2 linked regions of the Arabidopsis thaliana genome follow. The protein of the gene in region 1 interacts with the protein of each later gene in a pairwise test. Each region holds a gene or a part of one and is shown in the gene's direction. Other genes may lie near its edges. The genes, in order: OEP16-3 and TIM23-2.

The links.
Region 2: the proteins of OEP16-3 (region 1) and TIM23-2 interact in a two-hybrid assay, tested with the Arabidopsis thaliana proteins (one study listed by BioGRID).

The regions. Positions count from the first base shown.
Region 1 is NC_003071.7:17,588,054-17,592,403, forward strand, and holds OEP16-3 (Mitochondrial import inner membrane translocase subunit Tim17/Tim22/Tim23 family protein), read left to right. Parts: upstream 1-2,197; 5' UTR 2,198-2,546; coding exon 2,547-2,919; intron 2,920-3,389; coding exon 3,390-3,538; 3' UTR 3,539-3,799; downstream 3,800-4,350. Other genes in the region: SPL9 (squamosa promoter binding protein-like 9), read left to right, coding at 554-699, 776-1,398; AT2G42220 (Rhodanese/Cell cycle control phosphatase superfamily protein), read left to right, coding at 4,052-4,098, 4,217-4,350. UniProt on the Arabidopsis thaliana protein: Voltage-dependent high-conductance channel with a slight cation-selectivity; selective for amino acids but excludes triosephosphates or uncharged sugars.
Region 2 is NC_003070.9:27,381,262-27,385,177, forward strand, and holds TIM23-2 (translocase inner membrane subunit 23-2), read left to right. Parts: upstream 1-2,103; 5' UTR 2,104-2,294; coding exon of another isoform or gene 2,295-2,315; coding exon 2,316-2,882; 3' UTR 2,883-3,263; downstream 3,264-3,916. Other genes in the region: AT1G72740 (Homeodomain-like/winged-helix DNA-binding family protein), read right to left, coding at 445-529, 673-887, 1,277-1,426; AT1G72755 (uncharacterized protein), read right to left, coding at 2,295-2,322, 2,520-2,557. UniProt on the Arabidopsis thaliana protein: Essential component of the TIM17:23 complex, a complex that mediates the translocation of transit peptide-containing proteins across the mitochondrial inner membrane. Links the inner and outer membranes.

The DNA.
Region 1 (4,350 bases):
CTGCTTGTTCCACTGTTGTGAATCAAATCTAAAGGCTTTAGCTTTTTGTGATTGTCAGTGTCATATGCTTTTTTGGCTTTAACGTCTTTTTATTTTCATTTTTTAAAAAACTTTACAGCTTAGTTTTGTAACCTGGTCTTGTGTTTGTTGGACTCGTTGGGCTCATTTTTGGGAATATGTTTACGTCTACTTGTAGATGCTTCTCTTTTATTTTTCTTTTGATTTTGTCTTTCTAAATATCTAATCCAAAGAGATATGAAATGAATGGACAAGAAGAAAGCCGTTGCCCTCATTTTTGCTTCTTTAGGTCATATCATTATTGAGGGGGACAAAACTAGTGTACCATAGCATCATTGACGTGATCATTGAGGAACTCTGTTACATTATATTACAAGTGTGTGGTTTTAGATTTTAATTCAAAACTGATGACAAAAGCTTATAATGACTGATAGAATGTATACAAACGGTAGTTAACGTGGAGAGGTCTTGTCTTTGGAATGTTCTGTTATGTTGCTTTTCTTTGAAGTTAACTCAATCTGAATCAATCACATAGGTTTCATCAGCTTCCGGAATTTGACCTAGAGAAAAGGAGTTGCCGCAGGAGACTCGCTGGTCATAATGAGCGACGAAGGAAGCCACAGCCTGCGTCTCTCTCTGTGTTAGCTTCTCGTTACGGGAGGATCGCACCTTCGCTTTACGGTTAGATCCTTAAGCTCGACACATAAGACCGATTCATGTACTTTTCATCCTTAAAAGATAGATGTATATGCTACAGAAAATGGTGATGCTGGAATGAATGGAAGCTTTCTTGGGAACCAAGAGATAGGATGGCCAAGTTCAAGAACATTGGATACAAGAGTGATGAGGCGGCCAGTGTCGTCACCGTCATGGCAGATCAATCCAATGAATGTATTTAGTCAAGGTTCAGTTGGTGGAGGAGGGACAAGCTTCTCATCTCCAGAGATTATGGACACTAAACTAGAGAGCTACAAGGGAATTGGCGACTCAAACTGTGCTCTCTCTCTTCTGTCAAATCCACATCAACCACATGACAACAACAACAACAACAACAACAACAACAACAACAACAACAATACATGGCGAGCTTCTTCAGGTTTTGGCCCGATGACGGTTACAATGGCTCAACCACCACCTGCACCTAGCCAGCATCAGTATCTGAACCCGCCTTGGGTATTCAAGGACAATGATAATGATATGTCTCCTGTTTTGAATTTAGGTCGATACACCGAGCCAGATAATTGTCAGATAAGTAGTGGCACGGCAATGGGTGAGTTCGAGTTATCTGATCACCATCATCAAAGTAGGAGACAGTACATGGAAGATGAGAACACAAGGGCTTATGACTCTTCTTCTCACCATACCAACTGGTCTCTCTGACTTGTCTTTGCATCAGAGAATCTTCTTACAATGAACGATTCTGCAATATCTTATCTTTTTGCTTCTTTGTTTATTCTGTTATCTGCTATCAATAAACCAGACAATTGTTGCCAGATAATGGCTTTTGATTTTGATTTGTTGTTTTATCTCCATGAAAATCCAAGTTATGAGATCAGATTGATTTCTTTAGCACATCAAGGTTCCATATAATGAATCTATAATCATCCTAGTATATTAGTCAAAGCAGGAGCTAACATTACCTTTTAACTTAAGGCTTAAGCCATAGCATTATCATCAGCTTTGCTCAAACTCAACATCTTAAACACTTAATTAGACTCAGAGATCTATCGACCAACGAAGTGAACTGCTTTTTCCCCAAAACCCTAACCACCCACTTTCAAAGATTCGTCCTTTATGGATTTAGCTCCCCTGTTTCCAAATGAAACCTCAAAAAACTTGAACCATATATACTCATCAGAAGACAACTTAACTATGGCAGCTTTTCAAATATGATTCTTATCTTTATAAAAATCTTTCGTCAGAAACAGTAAAAGTAAGACGATGATAGAGACCTTTCTTCCTAAAGATCTCTCATCATCTTTCATGGTCGTCAGAGCTTTGCTACAGAGACGTGAAGAGAGAATATCATAAATGGGCTATATAATGGGCCCTAAGAGGCCCACATGAATTTCCGTATGATTCTTGTAATTGGGCTTTCTCTGGCTCTACTGACTCGTCTCCTGAAGAACAACAACAAAACATATTTCATTGAGCTCCTCCACTGAATCGCTCTCATCCTTCGCTTCTTCGAATTCCAAAGGTTAGACTTTCCTGAATCCTTCAATAATCTCTCTTCGTTGTCTTCTGTAACATTTCTTCTATTGTTAGTGATGGATTCCATTATTTTCCTTGTGTTACAACTTTGATGAGCTCAATGCTTTCACAAACTAGGTTTCGGAATTTTTGTTTCAATCCAATGTCTCTATTTGGGTCTTTAAACCAGATTATATTGAAGATCTGGAAAATGGGTTTATAATTTTGTAAAGACCGCGACTTTGAAAACTTCAATTTGGTGAAATTCTTTCAAATCCGCATCTTGTAAAAATCACATTTTTATATTTTTGTTGATTGATCTTGTTCTCTGTTGAATGTTTAACTTGTGTGCGTTAGGTAGAACAGTAGAAGAAATCATGGATCCAGCTGAAATGAGATATTTGGAAGAAGAGGATGGTCCGTTGATGAAGACAATCAAAGGTAGTATCACTGGTTTTGGTGCTGGGACTATTTACGGAACCATTTTAGCCACATGGAAAGATGTTCCAAGAGTGGAGAGAAATGTGGCTCTTCCAGGACTTATTAGAACACTGAAGATGATGGGAACCCATGGGCTGACTTTTGCTGCTATAGGAGGTGTTTACATCGGTGTTGAACAGCTGGTTCAGAATTTTAGATCCAAGAGAGATTTTTACAATGGTGCTATTGGTGGTTTTGTCGCTGGAGCTTCTGTGCTTGGCTATAGAGGTAATGGTTTTTCTTCTTCACTCATGGTTCGTTCGTTTTCATTGTGTTTGCATAAAACAATGTCTCGATGGTTAAGTAGTTTAGAACTGATGTGATTTTGGTGAAGACCATTTGAAGTTACTGGAATTAGCAGTATGTAGTTCACTTCATGTGTTTTACGAGCTTAGTAGTTATTGATGGACAAACAATGATCTCGAGTGGGAGTAACTAAAGGAATTGTAATGGGAAGAAATTGATTCTTCCTTACCTCAAGTTAATGTTATTTGGTGCCTAGTGTAGCAATTCTATAGGATAGCACAAGTGTCAAGACTTTGATATTGAGTGTATACAGGAAACTCTCAAAATCATATATATGTAAAGATCGAAAGTACATAGCTTTGAGTGAGAGATGATGCTATAGATTCGTGCATTCTTATGATGCTATACTTAATTGTTATTTGGTTTACTTTGGTTTTCCTCTTTTTTTACAGCAAGGAGCATCCCGACAGCGATAGCTGCAGGTGCAACACTAGCTGTTACCTCTGCTTTGATTGATTCTGGAGGTCAGACCACAAGAGTAGACAATGGCAGAGAATACTATCCTTACACCGTCGAGAAAAGAGCTGAAGCTGATTCCTGATTTCTCTTTTGGTCACTGAGATTAATAAGATGTGCATTCGCTGATCCGGGGATCTTGAGATAATCTCTTTTGTTTATTTTATCTGGATATGTGATATCATGATACTCTTTGCTCTTGTTTCTTCTTGTTTTCTTGAGAGCGACTTTCTCACATCTTTTGTCTGAATGTTTCCTGCAATAAAAATTCAACTTTGTCTGCAGATGTAAACAAATGTTTTAGCTTTCAGTAATCATTTTAATCAGACATTTGCTTGCTTCTGTTAACCTCAAGCTAGTTTCTTTATCTGAAACTATAATAGATTTGAACATGACAAGCATAAGGAAACAAACATGTAACATGTATAACAATCAGATGATATGGATTTGGAGATCTACATGTAAAAGTAGAGTGAATACGTGGCAATAACTCATTGGCTATCTTAAATTTCCTTGTGGTATGGCTAATCTAGTGGTTCTTGTCCAAGTAACTATCGCATCACAGTGACGAGTTTTTTTCCTAGAGACCTCTGCTGCAATGGCGGGGATCATAAGCCCTAGCCCTACGGCTCTTTATTTCACCAGGTAATACTAGTTCCCTCAACTGAAAGTTGACTCCTTTGTATAATTCGCCAAGTTGTTTAATCTTGGCGAGTTCTCGTCCAAAACAAGATAAAGTTAACAGTTTCGATTTCTGATGCAGTAATGTCGGTGGGAGGCGACTGAAAGCAGTGAGCTGGGCGGGAAAGAGTGTCTCCGGGAACGTTATCCGCCGGAGAAGCTTGAGAATTGCTGCGGAGCTGAAATTCGTGAATGCAGAAGAAGCAAAACAGTTAA
Region 2 (3,916 bases), on another chromosome or scaffold:
AGTAAACCATTGTTAGCACTCAGTCGTAAGGTCCAATACAAAAGCTATTATATAGCCAAATGTGATAAAAGAATAACAGAAAGTGACCAAATTTAAGTAAAATCAAGAGTTCTAACATTTTTTCAGATATGCATAGTGGACAGCTTCACGACAAGTATTATCATACTATAAAACGTCAAAGTACAAATAATTAGTAGTATAAGACTTTACATTTAGAACTCGGTGTTCTCATTTGAGAAGGACGAATCATCTAAGATTGCTGATAGTAGTAATAAGCCATTTGCACAAGTCAATGTAAGATAGAGTTTACACGTGCCAATAACATAACTATCCCTCCCACATATATAGATGATGTCTCTAATAATCTGTTAAGTAGTTTACAAAGCGAGCACATATAATTTTCTGATCTGTGCATAATAAATAGCAGAGAGAAATTTGTCAAACCTCAATGAAATGATAAATGGAACTGACATCAGATCCATTACCATCGGCTAAAGCAGAGAGAGCTTCAAATATCACCCCGTCATACCTGAAAATAGGGACATATCAGAAGTTTAGCAATACATGATGAAGATTATTACTCAGAGTTGATAGACTAGCATTTATGGAACTAGTCTCTCATCATACTTTCTGGCCTCAAGTATGAGAAATAGAGAACAAAGAAAGACAAACCTAGGAGCATTCTTTGTATTTTCATCAGGGATCAACTCAGAAGGTAAAGTACGCCGACCGGGAGGAGGTGGAATAGTAGGAATAGGCCGTGGAATAGTGACAGCATCATTTGCATCTGCAGCCGGAGTGTCGCCTTCCTCTTTGACTTTTGCTGGCCGTGCCTTATTAGTTAAACTTTGAGTACCAGGGGGAACACTCAAGTTACGCCACTTATCCTATTAAGTATTGAAACACACAAAATTTTCAAACTCTTCTTCATAAGACTACCACCAAGTAAAAGAAATCCATAGCAAAATGAAGGACAGTACTACTCTTTCCACCTCAAATCTCCAACTCAACCAAGCTAGCTTTAGGTATTGCACACTTGAATCAATAAAAAAAAAAACTTATAATCTATCCAAGGAATCTCTAATCCTATAACCAATGATAAGAGGCAACACTAATAAAACCTATTGCCAAAAGTTTTGATTTTTTATGGATCTTAAACTAAGCAGATACGACAGAGTACATAATGCACTCCGGGTTGGTCTCAAATTCGATGTCTAGGTTTAATATATGGTTCAACGAGAGTGATTTTAAAGAGGTGAGTGAAGAAAAGAGAAACCTTTAGGTCAATGTTGGAGCGATGGATGAGCTGATCAGCGAATTCTGGATCCCGGAGAATATTCTTCCACTTTCCAGGACCGTGCTTTCTGATTCCGGCGAGTAACGCCTCCTCTTCCTCCGCCGTCCACTTTAGTTTCTGGTTTCCCATCTAACCCTTGCGTGATTTACCTCGTGCTCTCTCTCTCTCTCCAAGACAATCGGCGTGTAAACGGAGTTAGACGCAGTCTCTTCGCCGTAGCTTTCGCCGGAGGTTTCGTTTATTTTTGGCTCTGCGCAGTTGTGTGACTGCGGGAGGAGGTTTCCAGTTTGCAAAACTTTTTCGATTATTTACTTCCGAATTTATGCTTTTTATTTTGTCTTCTATTTACGCTCTCGAAATTAAATCGAATTTTTTTTTTTGGCCTTTTGACTTAAATTAAAAACAAATAAGCTTTGTATTTGAATCCTTAATTATTTTATTTGAAGTTTAGTTCTCTAAATAAAAACTGATGACAAAAAAAATTCATAAAATTAGGTTCGTTCGTCGTAAAAATATTTCTGACATTATAAGAGAAACACCTGAAAATTCGAGGATGTTTGGTTGTCACGATGGATTGCAATTTTGCAAAGTAATTAAGTATGACTTTGAAAAGTCCAATGTTGAAGAGGTTAATTTTGTAAAAATTAAACTTATGGGGTCACATTCGAAATATCAGCAAATACAGTGTGTGGTGGTAAGAGAAAACCAACTTGGGTTTAAATAGAGAAAATAAAATAAATGGGGTTAAGTTCGAAATAAACGTAAACGCGAGTATTAAGCGAATCTGGTACTGCGCGTATCTGGAAACAACTGGACTGAGTCTTTCCCTAAAAACCCTAAACATAGATTTTTAGTTTAGTTTGGTTTCATTTCTCATTTCGGCAACCAAACCAAACATTCAGAGAGACACAACACAACCACATCATCACACGTTTCTCTCTCTCTCTTTCCTCTCCGTCGTCTCTCTCTCTCTAGCCACCACCAAAATCCTTAAAACCTAGACTTTTCTCTTCCATCGATGGCGGCTAATAACAGATCCGATCATGGGTCAGACGAAAACACAAGACTTTACAATCCTTACCAAAACTACGAAGTCCCAATCAACAAATCTCAGTACCTTTACAAGCTTCCTACCTCCCCTGAGTTTCTCTTCACGGAGGAGGCTTTAAGGCAACGTAGATCTTGGGGTGAGAATCTCACTTTCTACACCGGAACAGCTTACCTCGGTGGCTCCGTTGCCGGAGCTTCTGTTGGAGTCATCACTGGAGTCAAAAGCTTCGAATCTGGCGACACTACTAAGCTCAAAATCAACAGGATCTTGAACTCTTCTGGTCAAACTGGTCGAACTTGGGGTAATCGGATTGGTATCATTGGATTGGTTTACGCAGGGATCGAGAGTGGTATTGTGGCTGCCACGGATAGAGATGATGTTTGGACCAGTGTGGTGGCTGGTCTTGGAACCGGAGCTGTTTGTAGAGCGGCGAGAGGAGTGAGATCTGCAGCTGTAGCTGGTGCTCTTGGTGGACTTGCGGCTGGAGCTGTTGTAGCTGGGAAGCAAATTGTGAAGCGGTATGTGCCCATTTGAAGACTGCAAGAGTCTAATTGGCAGACTCTTTTTCGGGTCGTTGTTGAAATTTTTGATAGGGGAAATGGTGAGAATTTGATAGGTTTGGTATGTCTTGGAATCATAAAAATGAAAACTTTATTTGGTTTCTAGAGGTACAACAAGTCTGTATGTCAAGTCATAATGCAGTTTCACTTTGAAGAATAACCTGCAAACCTTTTTCTTATATTCATACTGATTAAATGTTTTGCCGATTGGTAATTTAATTTGTCATGAGTGTGTTTGTTCTAGTTAGTGTTTTATGTTTCTGTTTTTGATCAATGTTAACTCTTTCTTGATTCGTTGAGAAACTGATGTGTTGTATTACATTTGAAAATGAAGCTCTTCTCTCAAGTTTTTTCTTATCATTTTGTTAATTGGGATGGTGTAGTGTGTTCACATAATTGTATACCTCTGTTTATCTCATTGAGTACTAACCTGATATTTGATGGTGTTATTTTGTTACCTATTATATCCCCCTGGTTCTATTTCTCTGGACTGTTCTCTGCTCTTAGCTATTAATTTTGTCTCCAAGATTTCACAAGCTTATGATGATGGATCAGTCACTTTTGGTTTTGTGGTTTTTGGTTCTCAAGTCTCAGGCATATTGTGTAGCAAACCTTCTCTAAACTCTTACCGTCTCTAGACCTTATCAGCTGCTCTAAATGAAGAACAAATAGTGTCCTCTAATCTTTTTATTAAAGCCTTAAACTTTCAGTTTTGCAGCTTGCTTAGAATTTTTGTTTTGTTTCAGAAGATCATGTACCTGCAAAATGACATTTCGTCTGATTTCTTCATTCGAATGAGGGTCTTTACATCAATAAACAAGTCTTCTTTAAAGTGTAGAATTTTACATGAACAAAACTAAAAGAATGTTTCATATACAAAGATAAGGGAACTCCCCACACGCTATGGGAGATCACCCCACTGAACTCTGGAAGGAGCACAACTCATAAAAGACCAACCGTTGCCTTTGTACTTGCTTGTATGTGATCTTGGAGGTCGACTCCTTCTAG